Danio rerio: one gene and its partner. The protein of the gene in region 1 interacts with the protein of each later gene in a pairwise test. Links are inferred from orthologs where the notes say so. Each region holds a gene or a part of one and is shown in the gene's direction. Other genes may lie near its edges.

What was found.
Region 2: the proteins of si:dkey-191g9.5 (region 1) and plekhb1 interact in binary tests that used the Homo sapiens proteins (3 or more experiments, as listed by UniProt). The two-hybrid records come from large-scale screens. The link is inferred for Danio rerio from reciprocal best matches to the Homo sapiens genes RAP1GDS1 and PLEKHB1.

The regions. Positions count from the first base shown.
Region 1 is NC_133188.1:24,892,828-24,896,662, reverse strand, and holds part of si:dkey-191g9.5 (rap1 GTPase-GDP dissociation stimulator 1-B), read left to right. Parts: intron 1-976; coding exon 977-1,081; intron 1,082-3,835. UniProt on the Homo sapiens protein: Acts as a GEF (guanine nucleotide exchange factor) for the Rho family of small GTP-binding proteins (G proteins) that stimulates the dissociation of GDP to enable subsequent binding of GTP.
Region 2 is NC_133185.1:41,791,832-41,796,435, reverse strand, and holds the start of plekhb1 (pleckstrin homology domain-containing family B member 1), read left to right. Parts: upstream 1-1,757; 5' UTR 1,758-1,864; coding exon 1,865-1,904; intron 1,905-4,399; coding exon 4,400-4,552; intron 4,553-4,604.

The DNA.
Region 1 (3,835 bases):
ATTAAACAATTAAACTGGATAAATGAGTGTGCAAAAATAAATATCCAATATCAATCTAGGTAAAATATCCAATATTAATCAAAATCAATCCAGATAAATACAGCTGAAAATATAGTGTATGTTTATTCATTCATTAATTTTCTTGTCGGCTTAGTCGGGGTCCCCACAGCGGAATGAAAAAGCAAGTTTTTACGCAGCGGATGCCCTTCCAGCCGCAACCCATCTCTGGGAAACATCCACACACACACACACGCACGCACGCACACACACACACACACACACACACACACACACACACACACAAACACACACACACACTCACACACTACGGACAATTTAGCCTATCCAATTCACCTGTACCGCATGTGTTTGGACTGTGGGGGAAACCAGAGCACCCGGAGGAAACCCACGCGAGCGCAGGGAGAACATGCAAACTCCACGCAGAAACGTCAACTGGGCCGAGGCTCAAACCAGCTACCCAGTGATCTTCTTGCTGTGAGGCGACAGCACTATACTGCGCCACTGCTTCAGCCCTTGTATGTTTGTAAATATTTAAATATATTGTATTTTAGTGTATGTTTTAAATATGCCAAAAAGTGTTTTTAATATAATAATAACAAACCAGTTATTAAATATAAGATTTATAAAAGATCTGAATGGATTTAGAAGTAAGCAATCTTAAGTAAGGTCATCTAAAGAAAAAAAACTGGATAAATGAGTGTGCAAAAATAAATATTCAATATCACTCTAATAAAAAATAAATAAATCAACAGCATTCTATTTACTTCATTACATTTTTGTAAAAAAATATGCTTTTTCAAATTTACTGAATGCATGAATAAACTCAGCTGTCTCTATAGTTTAACTGCAATGGTTATGAATCACCATGAAAAATGTCTTGGAGGCGCTGCCATACCTGCTTGTTATTTTGAAATGTTGTGTGGCAGTGTACGTGATGCTTATGATTGTGTTTCAGAATCTCTCAGCGAGGCCCTGAAAGGCATCAGTGTGAGCACAGAGCTGGTGGAGGAGGAGCTGAAGCCTCATCTGGATGTTCTGCTCAACCTGCTATTAGAGAAGAGTGAGTCTACAACATTAACTATCCCTCCTCAGTCTATTTATACACCACTGTGTGTCATTCCCAAAAATCCATATTTCTAAACTAAAGCAACGTCAAATTCTGGTGCCATCACCTTTTCAAGAGCCTGTAAAAAGCTGTCAAATAAATTGTGATTATAATTTTTGTGATATAAACACATCTTATGTTTATTCATTCATTCATTAATTTTCTTGTCGGCTTAGTCCCTTTATTAATCCGGGGTCGCCACAGCGGAATGAACCGCCAACTTATCCAGCAAGTTTTTACGCAGCGGATGGCCTTCCAGCCGCAACCCATCTCTGGGAAACATCCACACACACATTCACACACTCATACACTACGGACAATTTAGCCTACCCAATTCACCTGTACCGCATGTCTTTGGACTGTGGAGGAAACCGGAGCACCCGGAGGAAACCCACGCGAATGCAGGGAGAACATGCAAACTCCACACAGAAACACCAACTGAGCAGAGGTTCGAACCAACGACCCAGCGACCTTCTTGCTAGCTGCTGGCTTCTCTATTACTATAGCTGATTATCCATGTGGATGGATGATAACAGCCTTCTGAGCCTACCAGTAGGTGCAGAAGGCCCATACTGGCCCATATCTATCAGCTGATAACCACTGATGATGCCTATTCAATCGAGTGATATCATTCGAAGCAAGTGCAGATGGTTTGAATCCAAAAATTACAATTAATGCTGCTATGATCTATCTATCTATCTATCTATCTATCTATCTATCTATCTATCTATCTATCTATCTATCTATCTATCTATCTATCTATCTATCTATCTATCTATCTATCTATCTATCTATCTATCTATCTATCTATCTATCTATCTATCTATCTATCTATTTATCTATCTATCTATCTATGTATCGTCAATCAATATGAACATGTGACTAACATTGATTAACAATTAAATTCTATAAATCAGAATGTGGTTGAGAAACACTGGTGTAATGTGTATATATAGGAGACGCGGTGGCGCAGTAGGTAGTGCTGTCACCTCACAGCAAGAAGGTTGCTGGTTTGAGCCTCTGCTGGGTCAGTTGGCGTTGGAGTTTGCATGTTCTCCCCGCGTTCGCATGGGTTTTCAATGACAATGTGGTACAGGTGAATTAGCTAGGCTAAATTGTCCGTAGTGTATAAGTGTGTATAGATGTTTCCCAGAGATGGTTTGCCACTGGAAGGGCATTCGCTGCGTAAAACACATGCTGGATAAGTTGGCGGTTCATTCCACTGTGGTGACCCCCGATTAATAAAGGGACTAAGCCGAAAAGAAAATGTGTATATATATATATATATATATATATATATATATATATATATATATATATATATATATATATATATACACACACACACGCACACACACACACACACATATACAGATACACACACTCTGCTTGTTGCTCCTATTTCTCTTGGTTTATTATCTAAACCTCATACATCTAAATCTACATCCAATTCAGGGCCATGAACCTTACAAGAGCCCATAAAAAAGACCTCATCTCACCTAAAAGTGACGTATGTTGTTGACAGTAGCCCTACTGAGCAAGGCCATCATTTAGTGTTGCTCTCATTACAGACTCATCCTGCTGTGAGCTGCTATTTGCTTCTTCCTCCTTGAAGTTGTGTGTGTGTTTGTGTGTGTGTGTATGTTTAAGTGTGTGGGAAGACAATCCAATGTAGGGGGCAGCAGAGGGTCAGCTTATCTTCCTGACAGCAGATTTGGGGCACAAGTAGGAGACGAGTAATCCGCATTTACATTCGAGAGAGGGAGAGAGAGAAGGCGAAGGATAGAAAGGGTTAATCTCATTAATCTTTCTCTCCTTTTCTCCATTTCGCTCCCCATCTTCTGCTCATTCCGCAAATTAGTTTGCACCAGCTGTCCGTTCTTGGCTCGTCACTTGTGCTTTCGGATCGCGATTGCATCTAAAAATGGAAAAAGCAGCCTCCGCAAAAGAACACAAAGTAGATGTTTCCATAGCAGCTCGGCTTCCTCTGACAGCTTGACCTGCCATCGTGGCCTTTCTGGATGTTTTTTTGTCTTAAAGAGAACATTCTATAGTGACACATTTCCTCATGCTGGCAGCTCTGTCTCAGGAGCAGATCCTTGTCTTCCACTTTGAATGTGAACGGATTACTCTGAGGCCTTGCTGTCAGAGCAGCTCTGAAGTGCACGGTACAAAACCTGATGGAGGAGATGAAAGAAAAGGTGAAGCAACAGGAGGAGCGAGCTGAAAGAATGCGTGGTTTGAAATTGATTTGGCATCAGTGGAAAACAGGGAAAGCTTTGTTAAAGCTTTGTTGAAGCATTCATATGGTTTTTCAGTCCATCAAACAGAGCATGCATTCTGTAAAATATTTCACAAGACTTATCACAAGACAAAAGGTAAATGCAAAATAGACATTCTAGGTCAGGGGTGTCCAATCTCGATCCTGGAGGGCCAGTGTCCTGCAGATTTTAGCTCCAACTTGCCTCAACACATCTGCAAGGATGTTTCTAGAAAGCCTAGTAAGAGCTTGATTAGCTAGCCCAGGTGTGTCTGATTAAGGTTGGAACTAAACTTTGCAGGACACCGGCCCTTCAGGACCGAATTTGGACATGCCTGTTCTAGATACTAGATTTCTGTAATGTGAAGTGGGACGCTGACAAAGAAAGTGTGGATCCAAACGCAGGTTTATTAAACAGAGATGGTCAGGCAAGCAACGGTCAACACAGG
Region 2 (4,604 bases), on another chromosome or scaffold:
AATACAAATAATAATAATAATAGAAAATATACTACTACTACTACTACTAATAATAATAATAATACTGGAAAATATAATAATAATAAATACTTTTAACTAACAATTATTACTAGCAAAATACTTAATAAACATGATTTATTATCATTAAATAACAGTAAATGACCATGCATTAAATAAATACAAATATAAATAAAATACGTAATTAAATAATAATAATGATTTTATTATTATTATTATTATTAATAATAATAATAATAATAATAATAATAATAATTATTATTATTATTGTTGTTGTTATTATTATTATTATTATTATTATTATTATTACCATTATTATTATTAATACCATTTTTATATCTGTTGCTTCTGCTGTATTTACGGATAATAAATAATATTATGCAAAATAATATTTTATTTATGTATTGGTTATAGTAACATTAATAGTTATTATTATTAGTAGCAGTAGGATTATAAATAATTACAAATACATTTATGAATGGCCATGGATTGCAATAAATACATTTATAAGTGTACAATGGAACTAAATGTGTTGTTATTATTATTTTTTATTATTATTATAGCTGTTGCTGCTGCTATATTTCAGTATCACAAATAGCATTATTTGAAATTAGCATTCATTGTGTATTGATTTTACCAACGTTGATTATAAATGATCAATATTAATAACAGTAGTTGATATTAATATAGATAAAATACATTAAAATTACCATGCATTGCAACAAGTACATTTCTAAATATACTATGGGGCTAAATGTTATTATTAATTATTATTATTATTATTATTGCTATTGTTAATAATAATAATAATAATAATAATAATAATAATAATAAGTCATTATTCTTTTTTAACAATAGCAATAATAATAATAATAATAATAATTACATTATTATCTTAGAATTACTTTTATTAATAATAAAAAATAACAATAATAATAATAAAAAAATTATCATTTTAAAATAATAAGTAAACATTATATATGATGATTTAAATATACTTTTAATAATCAGGCTTAGCAAAAACACACATTTCTAAAACTATGACACTTAATACACCATAATAATGATGCTTAATATATTACAAACAAAAGTTAACACACTCAGGCCCTTTGACTGTGAAAACCAGTCAAATTAACATGATCTATAGCGCTCAAGATTAAGGGCAATTCCTGGGTTATAAAACTAGTGCCGTCATGCAGTGATGACTAAGCATGACACGTTTCAGTGATAAATGTGTTTATAGGTCGGTTACTTCAATGGTTTAAAAATAGCTAGCTTGATATAACTACTCCAGTTATTTAACATTTGCTAAATTTAGCCAAAGGGGAGATTAAAGATTAGCATGTGACCCTGATTATATACCAACAAACCTTTTTTTATACCAACAGAATGACTTAGACTCTCTTTTGTTAGGACATCCAATTGAATGAGTTTACGAAGGCATTAAATAATTGCAAAAAGTCGATTTATTATGGTTAGGTCAGTCTGTATATGGAGATTAAGATTAAGTGTGAGCATGCATACTCATCATTCAATGTGAACAAGTAGACTTAATGCACAAAAATACACACAAGCATGAAGTTAAACACACAAAAGGGGAGCGAATATTCCACAGACAACTAGTAGAAACTCAGACTGTGCTTTAATCTGAGATTACTGGTCACTTTGGCCTGTTTAAGGGATTAAAGGAAGAGTCATCAAACTATTCCAGCTCTACAAAAGCCGAGTGAAGGCTGAGACGACTAACAGTCATCGCCGAGTTACAAACAAAACACTTATCAGACCTGCAGCACAACACTGGGAATATTGCTTTTTTTTTGTTGTGGTGTCTGACTGGCCAGGGCTCATGATGGCTCTGCTCAAATCCGGCTGGCTCTGGAGACAGTGTAAGTGGAAGATTTGTTTATTAATGCTTATGTGAAGAGTTTTGTAATCTTATTAAGGATAGCAGAGGAATGGAAACACTTTAAGTATACAGCAGAAAATGCTGTAAAATTTACAGTATTACTGGCAATTTTGGTTGCCAGTAATACTGTCAAATATACAAGCGCACTGTAAATTAATAATTAATAAACAGCACAGTTTTAATTGTTCATTTAAAGTGAAGTTGTAAATTACACAGTATTACTGGCAACAAAAATTGCCTGTTTATAAGTAGAACATGTTGCTGGATAAACATCTATGTTGATCCTGGAACAACATTTCAATCAGCCAATCAGAATTTAGGGATACATTTACAGTTTATGTTAAGCTTAGGCTAATAGTTAGAGTTACGTGCATCTATGAGGATTTGCAAATATTATTACCCTCTAATTTTGGGAATAATTTACAGTTAGGGTTGGGTTTAGGGGCAAAGATTATGTATGGAGCACATTTTCAAACAAAAAATGATGTTTCAGGACCAACATAGATGTTAATGTAGGATCGCGTCCTAGTTGGGTTAGACCACCCAATAAAGTACATATTCTGCATGATCATATCTCTAATCCAATCCAAACCCAACCGATAGCATAATAAATTAAACTATATAATAAACTATAAATAAGCAGCAAATGAGGAGTTCACTAAGCTAAAAGCCATCTTTAATGGTTTGATAATAGCGAGAATTGTACCTTAAAATAAAGTGTGACCATGGGAGTTTCATTTTTAGGGACACAAATTAAGGAAGAAGCAATCCTAATGTTTATATTTATATTAAAATATAGATGGTCAAAAGCACAAATGCTGTTTTAGAAGTGTCTGGCTGCAAATTCTGTGAAATTTAAATGGTCTAAATTGGAAAAATCCTATATATACACACACACTTAAATACATTAATTAAAAAAAGGACGAGGAGTACTGTTCCAGAAGGTCTGTTATGAAACTTCAGGCCTGACACTGTTAGCAATAATCCTCTTACGGTCAGTGTTACAGTGCACATTAGCTGCTAGCTGAATGTCCAGTTTGTTGTTGTGTGCTCGCTATAATAAAACACACGCAACTGACCAAGGGAGAATATCAAAATGTAATTTAAAAATGTAAAATGATTCCCACCAAAAAATAATGTCATGAAAATGTACTTTAGAATGTTCGTAATTCTGAGAATTAAGAATCAATGTGTTTACAGTCAATGGAGTGCACTCTAAATGCATTTACATGTGGTATAAAACTATTTTTATATTTTAACTATATTATCAATAAGTTAAATGGATAGCTCACCCAAAAATGGAAAATTATTTAATACATATCCACTCAGTAGTTTCGGATTTATATGAGTAGCTTTTTTCTGTTGAACCGAAAAGTAGATATTTGAAAGAATGTTGGTAACTGGTAGCCATTGACATCCATAAAATATATGGAAAAAACATATAGAAGCTTCCAACATTTTCCATAGTATCTTCCTTTGTATTCAAAAGAGAAAGAAACTGAAATGAATTTGGAAAAAGTGGAAGATGAGTAAGTAATGACGGAATTGAAATTTTTGGGTGAACTGTCCCATTTTGTTAGCAAATGTAGTATTAAAATAACTCAAAACAAATTCCAAGAACAAAGTTCTTAATTCTGAATTTTCATCCAAACTCTAAAAAAACAAAACTCAGCATTGCAAAATATAACGTTTAAATCCACTTTTTTTTCTTGTGTATAAAAATAGGCAAGAAATGTTCTATGGAAACATTATAACCTCGACAAAATCAGGGGACAAACAGAATTCACTTACAAATGTAATAATGTTGAAAATAATATTCAATTTCTTATTCAGACTTATCTTTTCACTTCATAACAAACACCTTGATGGTATCAGGAGCCACGGGTTTAACTTTAGTTTTGCTTATATATGTTTGCTTCTCTTTAAAGTGCCTGTAAAGGTTGATTTATTTATTATTAAGAACCACAGTTTTATCTAAAAAAAAAAAAAATCTTCTTTAATGTTCTGCTGAAGAAAAAAGTCACTATATTCTGAATTGGCTTGAGTAAATTTACAGCAGATTTTTTGAGGGTACGCTAAATTGGCCGTAGTTTATGTGTGTGAACACAAGAGTGTATAGGTGTTTCCCAGTGATGGGTTGCACCTGGAAGGGCATCCGCTGCATAAAAATTTATGCTGGATAAGTTGGCGGTTCATTCCTGTGTTGACCCCTGATTAATAAAGGGACTAAGCCAAAAAGAAAATGAATGAATGAATGAATTGTGTGAAACCCTACATTTTTTTTACACTGAATGATTATTGGTTTAGAGATCCTTTAAAAAAATCATGTTTTCGTATGCATAAAATCATACATATATATATATATATATGAATTAGCCAGTTTTCTGGCATTACGTTGAACAGTTATGTTGGCTCCTTAGATCAGCTGGTCTGTAAAGGAGACATAATTAATCACTTTAAGTTTTTGTTAAACAGCTTCTGTCCTCAAACGCTGGAAACTAAACTGGTGTGACCTGTGGATCGATGGAAGTTTTGTTTTTTACAAAAGTGAATCCAGAAGAGACTACGAGACCAAAGTGAATCTGAAGAGCAGCTGTGTGAATGTGAGGTCTGGACTGGAGTGTGCAGGTAAGGTTCGAACGTATTTATGCTAATAAACGCTTGAATTTAACATTGTTTT